Arabidopsis thaliana: one gene and its partner. The protein of the gene in region 1 purifies or fractionates together with the protein of each later gene. This does not show direct contact. Each region holds a gene or a part of one and is shown in the gene's direction. Other genes may lie near its edges. The genes, in order: RSR4 and EMB1241.

Region 1 (4,192 bases):
TATAGACGGAAAGACGAAAATGTCGTCGTTCTTCACAAAGATGATGGAAATGCCCTTCAGATTGTAAATGCGATCAGGGAAGAAGTCATCGGAGAAGAAGACATTGGAAAAGACGGAAATACCCTTATGGATCCGTTGTTGGAATTCGAGGAACGGTGTCCTCCGGGAGGAGAGGAATCCGTTGTTTTCTACACAACGACTCTTCGAGGAATCAGAAAAACGTTCGACGATTGCAACATGATCCGATTTCTGCTGGATAGTTTTAAGGTTAAGTACTACGAGAGAGATGTGTCGATGCATAGAGAGTATAGAGAAGAGCTCCGACGAATCTCAGCGGCGGAAACAGAGGTGTTGCCTCCGGTTCTGTTCGTAAAAGGAAGGTGTATCGGTGGAGCTCAGAGAGTGTTGGGACTGCACGAGCAAGGGAAGTTTAAGATTCTCTTTGAGGGCATTCCAATCACCGGAGATGAACGTTGCCGGCGGTGCGATGGTTTTAGGTTTTTGATGTGTGATGGATGCAGAGGTAGTCGCCGGATTATCTCTGGTGATGGATCAAGAATTCAGTGTTTGATATGTAATGAGAATGGGTTAATTGTGTGCGTTGGTTGCTCCTAATACCATTTTTTTTGTTTGGTCTATATATATCAAATTACATTATTCGTTTATTATTTTTCTTAGTATTGTAACGATTTTTTTATACAGAAAATAAATATGGTCATCAGTTATATCATATGGTTGTTTCTACACAAATCTCAAGTTATTATTGCCTTAAAAAAGAGTTTGAATTATTGACACGAATTGCACTAAATTTATAGCATTTGTTAATGTTTATAATTATATATGATGTGTATAAAGATTAACATACCGGTGTTAGTAGCAAAATTTTTGCAACATCCACTAAGATTGTCATCCATAAACTACATTTATTTGAGAATTTACCCTTATTATTTGATTTAATCATCGATCAACCACTTAACAAAACGTATTCACTAATTCGATGAATTGCCAAATACTTAAATATCTGAATGGTATAGTTACAGTGAAGTAGTCAAAAGAGCAAGTTGGGCCGCCAGGGTCGGCTGAGTGGACAAATCTACTGATTGCAAAGGAGAGGCGGGCCTTCCTTTTCAACCACAGCCGCCTATTTCTCTATTTACTTTTATCATCACAAACTGCTATTTTTAGATTTTCTTTTTAAGAGATTTTTTCCTTTATTTCAAATTTTTTTTTCTAGGATTATAAAACTTAACGTACTATTGTATAAAAATGAATTTCTCCTACTCCCAAATGTAGTATCTTAAAAATCCCATTCCAAAACGATTGGTTGTAAATTGTTTGATAAAGAAATATAAAGATGTTTGTTATGAAGAAAATGATGCTTTCCATAACATTTTTTCCAAAAGCGTGCAATTCATTTTCTGCTAACATTTTTTCTCCTTGTCTTTTATGCAACAATTAATGCGGACTAGAGCGACAGTCGTGGATTCTATGAGGTCCAGTTACATTTCTTTGTGTCAGAAGATTTTTTTCCAAAATTTTTTCCCTAAAATCTATTTAAAATAAGAAAAAATAAATTGTGAAAACGTTTTAAAACATCATTAACAATGCATTTAACACTTTTATAATCCAATTCCGGACGACTCATTTTTTCTTGTCAAAACCTCTAGTTTAGTTGGCTAAAATCTTAAAATGCAGTCCACTAAACATGTGTTAATCGAAAAATCGAAATTGTGTTTTAATCTTGACCGTCCGATCACAACAAAATCCCACACTTTCCCAAATAAAAATTAAAAATTCAATAATTAAGGAGTTTCTATTTAATTAATAAAAATAGAGAAAAACATCTATTTTATTATTTTAGCTTTTATTCACACCGCCACAAACTCTCACTATAAAGCCGATCCATAGATAAACGAGGACCGGCCAGAAATCGCTTCACCATTCCCAAATCTCTCTTCCATTTTCTCCACACAAATTTCTCTTCAATCTCCGATAATGGAAGGAACCGGCGTTGTGGCGGTGTACGGTAACGGTGCGATAACGGAGGCGAAGAAATCTCCCTTCTCCGTGAAGGTCGGTTTGGCTCAGATGCTCCGTGGTGGTGTTATCATGGATGTCGTCAACGCCGAGCAAGCTCGTATCGCCGAGGAGGCTGGTGCTTGCGCCGTCATGGCTTTGGAGCGTGTTCCTGCTGATATCCGCGCTCAAGGAGGCGTCGCTCGTATGAGCGATCCACAAATGATTAAAGAAATCAAACAAGCCGTTACGATTCCGGTGATGGCTAAGGCTAGGATTGGTCATTTCGTTGAAGCTCAGATCCTTGAAGCAATTGGAATCGATTACATCGATGAGAGCGAGGTTTTGACTCTTGCTGATGAAGATCATCACATCAACAAGCATAATTTCCGGATCCCGTTCGTTTGCGGTTGCCGGAATCTCGGCGAGGCTCTGAGGAGGATCCGTGAAGGTGCGGCGATGATTAGGACCAAAGGTGAAGCTGGAACCGGTAACATTATTGAAGCTGTGAGGCATGTGAGGTCTGTTAATGGTGACATTAGGGTTTTGCGAAACATGGATGATGATGAGGTTTTCACTTTCGCTAAGAAATTAGCCGCTCCGTACGATCTCGTGATGCAGACTAAGCAGCTTGGTCGTCTTCCTGTAGTCCAATTCGCCGCCGGTGGAGTGGCTACTCCGGCTGATGCAGCTCTCATGATGCAGCTTGGATGTGATGGTGTCTTTGTTGGTTCTGGTATCTTCAAGAGCGGTGACCCAGCTCGTCGTGCACGTGCCATTGTTCAGGCTGTGACTCATTACAGTGACCCTGAGATGCTTGTGGAGGTGAGCTGTGGGCTTGGAGAAGCCATGGTTGGGATCAATCTCAACGATGAGAAGGTTGAGAGGTTCGCTAATCGCTCCGAGTGATCAAAGAAATAAAAGGTAAAATATCTCAGACGAAATGGTTTCAGAATTTTCTCAGACCATTTTGCAGTAATCTCTTTGAAAAGAAGAAGATGATGATATTGTTGGTAGTTTGTATCCTTTGTGTTTTCCTTATAATCTTTGATAGTCTTTTGTTATTGTAACTCGTAATCCCTTTGCAAGAACAAGTTTGTCAGTTATAATAATGTACTACTCTCTTGATCGATCAGTTGGTTTTGAATCTGATATATTCTTCGATCCATTGGTATTGACCATTGAGCTTGTTGTTCAATTACATTTCAGACAGGCCTATTAGTACTTAGTAGTATCAGGTTGATAAACAAAGGATGAACTTGTTTAATTTGGGAATTCGTACACTGGTACTGAGCTCTGTAGATGTTTGAGACTTTGAGTATTGGATTTGGTTTTGAAGAACTGTCCTGGATTAGATTCACATAGCCTCTAGTTCTTATTTTAAATTTGTGATTTCAGGCATAGCTGTCAACCTAACAAAGGAAGATAATATGAGTTGAGTTTTCTTTGTTGTTAACGAGTACTAATCATCGATTTCATGATGTGTGGATTATGGTTTATGGGGGGTTCTTTGCAGCTATGTTTGCATTGTAAATTGGTTTTTATGAAATGCTATGTTAATGTGTGATTAGTAAAGGAGAAGAGTTCATGGGACTCTTCTAGCTTTTAAAATCCATAAGAGTCCTCTAGCTTTGAAAATCCATGGGACTCACTCTTCTAGCTTTGAAAATCCATGGGGCTCTTCTAGCTATGGGATTTCAGATCTCATGCGCGGTAGTAGCATACGATCATCGGAATCCATAGAGCTCTTTTGTTCAAAATCGAGTTCTTGAAGGTCTTACACGACACCATGACTTAGGGATACGAGTATATATCCCTTGACTTCAGCCTCTAAGCTCTTGGCTCTGCCGGATCCAATTTCTCCAAAGAGCATTACTTCAAAGTTCAAAAGGTTCTCACTACTAACAGGTTAATTTTGTTAACCGAGATCAACCAAAATCAAACAAAACTTAACCAAATTGTAAATGTGATTTGATTGCACATCACTCGCATTTTGTCCAAAAAGACTCCGGTAAGACCAGAAACACGGATACAATTTAAATATCAATCGAAATAGGCCCACATCGGCCCATTATTACTGCACATTGGCCTATTTAATCAATTCACTAACTATATGAGACTTATATAATATACTATCAAATATGAGGGACCATAACACAATTTCTTTCTTTATCCA
Region 2 (5,323 bases), 5.7 Mb from region 1:
TTATCGCGTCTCATTGTTAACAGAGTTATACTTGCCCATTTTTGGATATTTTTACAAAGTGAAAATTCATCCGAAAATGTTGACAATTGAAAATGTTAGACTGTTTTATTTTCTAAGGAATGCATAAATTTGTTAACTTATCGTCGCATTATGTGTATGATTGATACCACAGTAGAACTCGTTCGTTTGAATATTTTTTTAAGTTTGTGTAATCTTTCTTTGTAAGCGAAGAGTTTTGGACGAATAATTTGAGACAAACTTGACTACGAGAAAACTAGCTGAGGGTAGGATTTGAACCCAAAACTTGGTCATAATCCTTTTTGAGTTCCCAAAATTCACTGATAGTGTTAAGCGGAATCGTTCATTCAAAATATATACTATATGTAGGCTATTTGGGAATATCTTATACACTTTTTTGTAAGAAAATTAGACATATTTATCTATTGTTTTTAAAAAAAAATTGTAAAAAAACGAGATCTAAGTTTATTGTCAAGTTAAACAAATAGAGAATTACGGGACGATAAAAAGAAGGAAACTAAATGATTAGAGACTTTATTTTTATTTTTCTCAATCGACGTGATGACCAATTTGATACAGACTCATAATCTATATGATATACCCAGGTGGAAGACCCATGCGTTGCATGCGTTAGAATTAATATAATAAAATACAACCTGTTGTTTAGCTGTTTCTAATTAATATTGAAATATGTTTAGCTGTTGAAAACATATAGAGGTTACCTTTTATTTTTCTCTAACTTATTCATCTCATCTAGTTTATCCAACTCTTTTTTATTATTCAGCTTATCTTTATTCAACTTATCAGTACTCATTTTATTCAGCTAGTTCAATTTGTTAATCACCATTGGAAACTTTTTAGGTGTTTATTTTTAGAAAATACTCTTCATTAAATCTCAAAAGTTCATAAAGTTTTTGGTGTAAACTACTAATTGGAGATTCGATCTAATGTTTTATAAAGTATTTTATATGGTTTAATAAGATTTTAGAAGGTATTTAAAAATGTTTTACAAGGTATTGTTTTACAAGGTATTTATAAGTTATTTTTATACTGTATTTATAAAATATTTATAAGTTTTTACACACATATAAAAGTAGTTTGTATACTTTAATAAAGTTACACACATATTTGAATAAACCTCATATTCTTAGGAGTACTTTTAATAAACAATTAGAAATATAATATTTTTGAAAAGTGGTATTCGAAAAGATGCTTTTGAAATTCTTCCTTTATTTAGCTTCCAATTCTAAACATTTGAACTAAACTATTTGATATTCAATTTTAAAAGCTTATATGGATTGTCACCTCCAAACATATGCTAGATATTTACTTGAGAATTTTTGATAAACATCTACTTACAAAATTTTAACTAAAATAATATATTGAGAAATTGGAAAATGAAAAAGTAAAATGGTCGAAGAAGAATATCTTTTATGATATGTTAGCCTCAACAACGGGTGATATTTAATAATTAGTTTAAAACTTTAGTCACTTTGTAGTTAATACTTCTGATTTAGGATTAAGGTCCGTTGCACCCACTACTTCTGACAAAACTAAGTGTGCGGACTTAGAAAATAGATTAAACATGGATGGTCTCCTATCTCTTTGTTGTCAACCCAAACCGGCAAACCCTGATATTCTCTTATTACTTTTCATCTATAACATATTGAGTACTAGTACTTGACCAAAACAAACATTTAACTATATAGTACATCTCTTTGGGCTTAAGGAAACCCTTTTGTAAATAAAGCCTAAGCCCAAATTGTAGAACTAGTTATAGTCAATAACACAAAATTGCTTCTAAAAATTTCCCAAATCTCAAGTCTTATTATGTTATTTTCAACAACGATATGCATGAGATCATGATACAATTTGAATCTGCAATAACAAAACTGATACAAATTGGTAAAAACATATTTTATTGTCGAAAATGTTTGAAACATTCAGATCCAAAAGAAAGGCAAGGCGAAATTGATACAACTACAAATCATTCAAATATTCTTATGTCAGAACAACAGTTCCTGGATAAATTTGCTCCCACTTGAAGAAAAGTGTAGTCATCGCTAGAGAAGATGAAGAGATTCGTGATGAAGTGGACTTGGAAAAAGAGTTGAACCATAAGAGTGGAAGACAACTTACAAAGAGTTTGGAGACATCATACCAGGAATCAGTTAGATCATTGGCATAGAACATCGAACAGCCTTCTCGAGTATTAATTTACAGAGATTTTATTGTATTATATAAAATATTCACAAAACTGTAGAAGTTTCAAGAAAATCTAAATCCGACGGTTGAAAAACTCCCTACGTAATCTCTGTTGAACAACAACGGTCCGATCAACATAGTAAAAACGAAAAGTAAATCCAACGGTTAAAAAAACGAAACAAAACAAAAGATCCGACGAGGAAGAGTAGAACCGTTTGCCCTCTCTCTCTCTATCTTCCTTATCTCTCTCCGCCACTCTCCTTCTCTTTCTCCGAACTCTTCGATGGCCGGTCTACTCAAAACGCCGTCTTTACATCTCACACCAACTCTTCTTCATGCTCCTTCTGTACCCTTTAAGCCCTTTTGCGTATCTTTCGCCGGAGGAAGAAACGTTAGCGTCTCACTCTCTCGCCGAGCTTCTCTCCGGTCTGTCTCTAGCGGCTATCCTCTCCGCTTACTAAACCTCGTACCCTTTGCTTCGGGAGAAGCTGAGACGACGGAGACGGAGGTGGAATCGAACGAACCCGAAGTTCAGGTTTTTCGATTTCGGCTCACTTCTGTTCAACTTTCTTGGGGGTTATTTCATTGTTAGTTCGGTGATTAGGGTTTCGAATTTGGGATATGGTAATTTAGAATTGCTTGTTGTTTGCTTAAATTTTTAAGCTTTATTGATTATATTACCCTCTGAAGGAACGTTCACATGAATTAGAGCAATGAATAGGATTGTATTCAGTCTATTCAGGAGTCAAATGGTGAATGCTAATGTTTCTTAGGATATACCAAATCCGATGAATGACAGATTTCATATTCTTGTGGTATGGTGTGTTCCCAAAATGAAGGAGTTTCACTAGTAGTTTAAGACCATGGTGTGTATGTACTATCCAAATCGAATTTTGATTTCGTGATTCTTGTATGGGGGCCACAGAATGTTCTGAAGCTTTTTTGGTGTTAATCTGATTGTTTAGGAGGTCATTAAAAAATTGTGTCGTTAGTGTGTGTTCTGTCTCAGCTTTTATCAGGAATAGATAGGAAACGTCTATGTAAACTGGATTGCTCTTTTTCTGATTTTTTGTTTCACTTCTGAAATCATGGAGCAGGAGACGGATGGTGCTGTTGATGTCGAGAATGAAAATGCCAGTGCTGAGGAGGGTGAAGCTGAGGAAGAAGAAGCAGCTGTTATCACAGCGTTGCTGAAATCCTATAAAGAAGCTTTAGCAGACAACAACGAGGGGAAGATTGCTGAGATAGAAGCATCTTTAAAGTCCATAGAAGATGAAAAATTTCTGCTTGCGGATAAAGTAGCGTCTTTATCCAATGAGTTATCGGTGGAGAGGGATCGGCTTATAAGAATCAGTGCAGATTTCGACAACTTCAGGAAGAGGACTGAGAGGGAAAGGCTAAACCTTGTTTCAAATGCTCAAGGAGAGGTTGTAGAGAATCTTTTGGCTGTTTTGGATAATTTCGAGAGAGCTAAATCCCAAATTAAGGTGGAGACTGAGGGAGAAGAGAAAGTCACTAATAGCTATCAGAGCATATACAAACAGTTTGTAGAAATTCTGGGATCACTTGGTGTTATCCATGTGGAGACAGTCGGCAAGCAGTTTGATCCAATGGTTAGTTACTATGATATCTTTTCTTCTTTCCGGAGATCGACAACTGTATTTTTGTTGCTCAGCTTGCTGGTGGTTTTAATTTTTAACTATGGACGTGATCTTTAAAATCAAAGTTGTTTTGGAAGTTAGGATAATTCGTTGCTATAGGGCTGCCGGAATAATCTTGAGCAGAACGTAGATATGGTTGTTACTTTGAAAGTTAGCTACATCAGATGGATGGAACAAATTATGCTGAATGATACTTTTGTGATGCAAATGATCAATAAATCTTTGAGGTTTAGGATCACTTATCTCAGTTAGATGCCTTTTGGTTATCGCAAAGCTTGAAATACATAACCACTTATGCGTCTAGTCCTAAGCATGAATCTGCTAAAGTTTTGGAGACTTTAGATGTAAGATGTGGTTGTTACTTTTGCAAGTTGGGTTTAAATGACAATGAGTTGGTAGATATCCTTTTGTTTGTTGGTCTTTTCAAGTCCCTAACAGCTGACATCTCTTTTTTATCCTTTTGCTTTTCTCGTTGTTGTGTGAAAAAAGCTACATGAGGCAATAATGAGAGAAGACTCTGCGGAATACGAAGAGGGTATAGTACTAGAAGAATACAGGAAAGGTTTCTTGCTAGGTGAAAGGCTTTTACGTCCTTCAATGGTGAAAGTATCAGCTGGACCTGGACCAGAAAAGCCCCTTGAAGCTGAAGGAGAAGAAGCCACAGCACAAGGAAGCGCAGAAGAAGAATCATCTTCATCTTGAAATTGAAGATGATCAAGACTCAGCAGTTTTGTGTGCGTGTGTGTGAGAGAGATACAGAGATAAAAGAGGGAGAGGTCTGTTTTACCATTATTGTTGTTATTGTTATTGATACGTTATATCATTTCTACAGAGTCTAGAAGTAATATAGATCGACATTTTTAATGAATTCTTAAGTATTCAATCCGAAAGGGAATGCCATAATTGATTTTTTTTCATCTCTCTATACACAGCTAGAAAATTCGGAAGATTCAGAGAAAATGTTGATAATTGGAAGTTTGGAACAAACAGAAAGTCAATACAGTAAATTGTATTTGAGTACTATGGCCTACGAGTCCAAATTATTGTCCAAGTTTTCTTCTTTTGGTTAGGGTTCTTTGGGTACTTAAATATCTTAAAGAGGAGTTGTCCATTTTGTGTAAAGAAATGTTAGGGCCATGTATGTTGGGTATCTTGGATTGGATTTTTTTTTCTTCTTTCTTTTGTTATTTTTTGGATATTTCTAGTAACGTTGGGATCCATGCATAATGCATTAAACCGGGTAATAGAATAAATAGTGTCATACAGTGAAAGTGTGAAACAATCAATAGTAAATTTTATCCTCAATGATGATAATATATCACATAATTTTTGGATCGGATACGAGGTGTAATCGGCCGGTCCATCTTTAGTCTCCTAGGACAATGCATGTCTTGTGTGAACGTACAAGTACAAATGTTGATTTGCGGTTCTGTTCCGGT

What was found.
Region 2: the proteins of RSR4 (region 1) and EMB1241 fractionate together in Arabidopsis thaliana (co-fractionation; one large-scale study listed by BioGRID). This does not show direct contact.

Annotation. Positions count from the first base shown.
Region 1 is NC_003076.8:171,309-175,500, reverse strand, and holds RSR4 (Aldolase-type TIM barrel family protein), read left to right. Parts: upstream 1-1,837; 5' UTR 1,838-1,995; coding exon 1,996-2,925; 3' UTR 2,926-3,612; downstream 3,613-4,192. Other genes in the region: AT5G01420 (Glutaredoxin family protein), read left to right, coding at 1-615. UniProt on the Arabidopsis thaliana protein: Catalyzes the formation of pyridoxal 5'-phosphate from ribose 5-phosphate (RBP), glyceraldehyde 3-phosphate (G3P) and ammonia. The ammonia is provided by PDX2.
Region 2 is NC_003076.8:5,838,823-5,844,145, reverse strand, and holds EMB1241 (Co-chaperone GrpE family protein), read left to right. Parts: upstream 1-2,287; 5' UTR 2,288-2,506; coding exon 2,507-2,758; intron 2,759-3,320; coding exon 3,321-3,836; intron 3,837-4,373; coding exon 4,374-4,586; 3' UTR 4,587-4,807; downstream 4,808-5,323.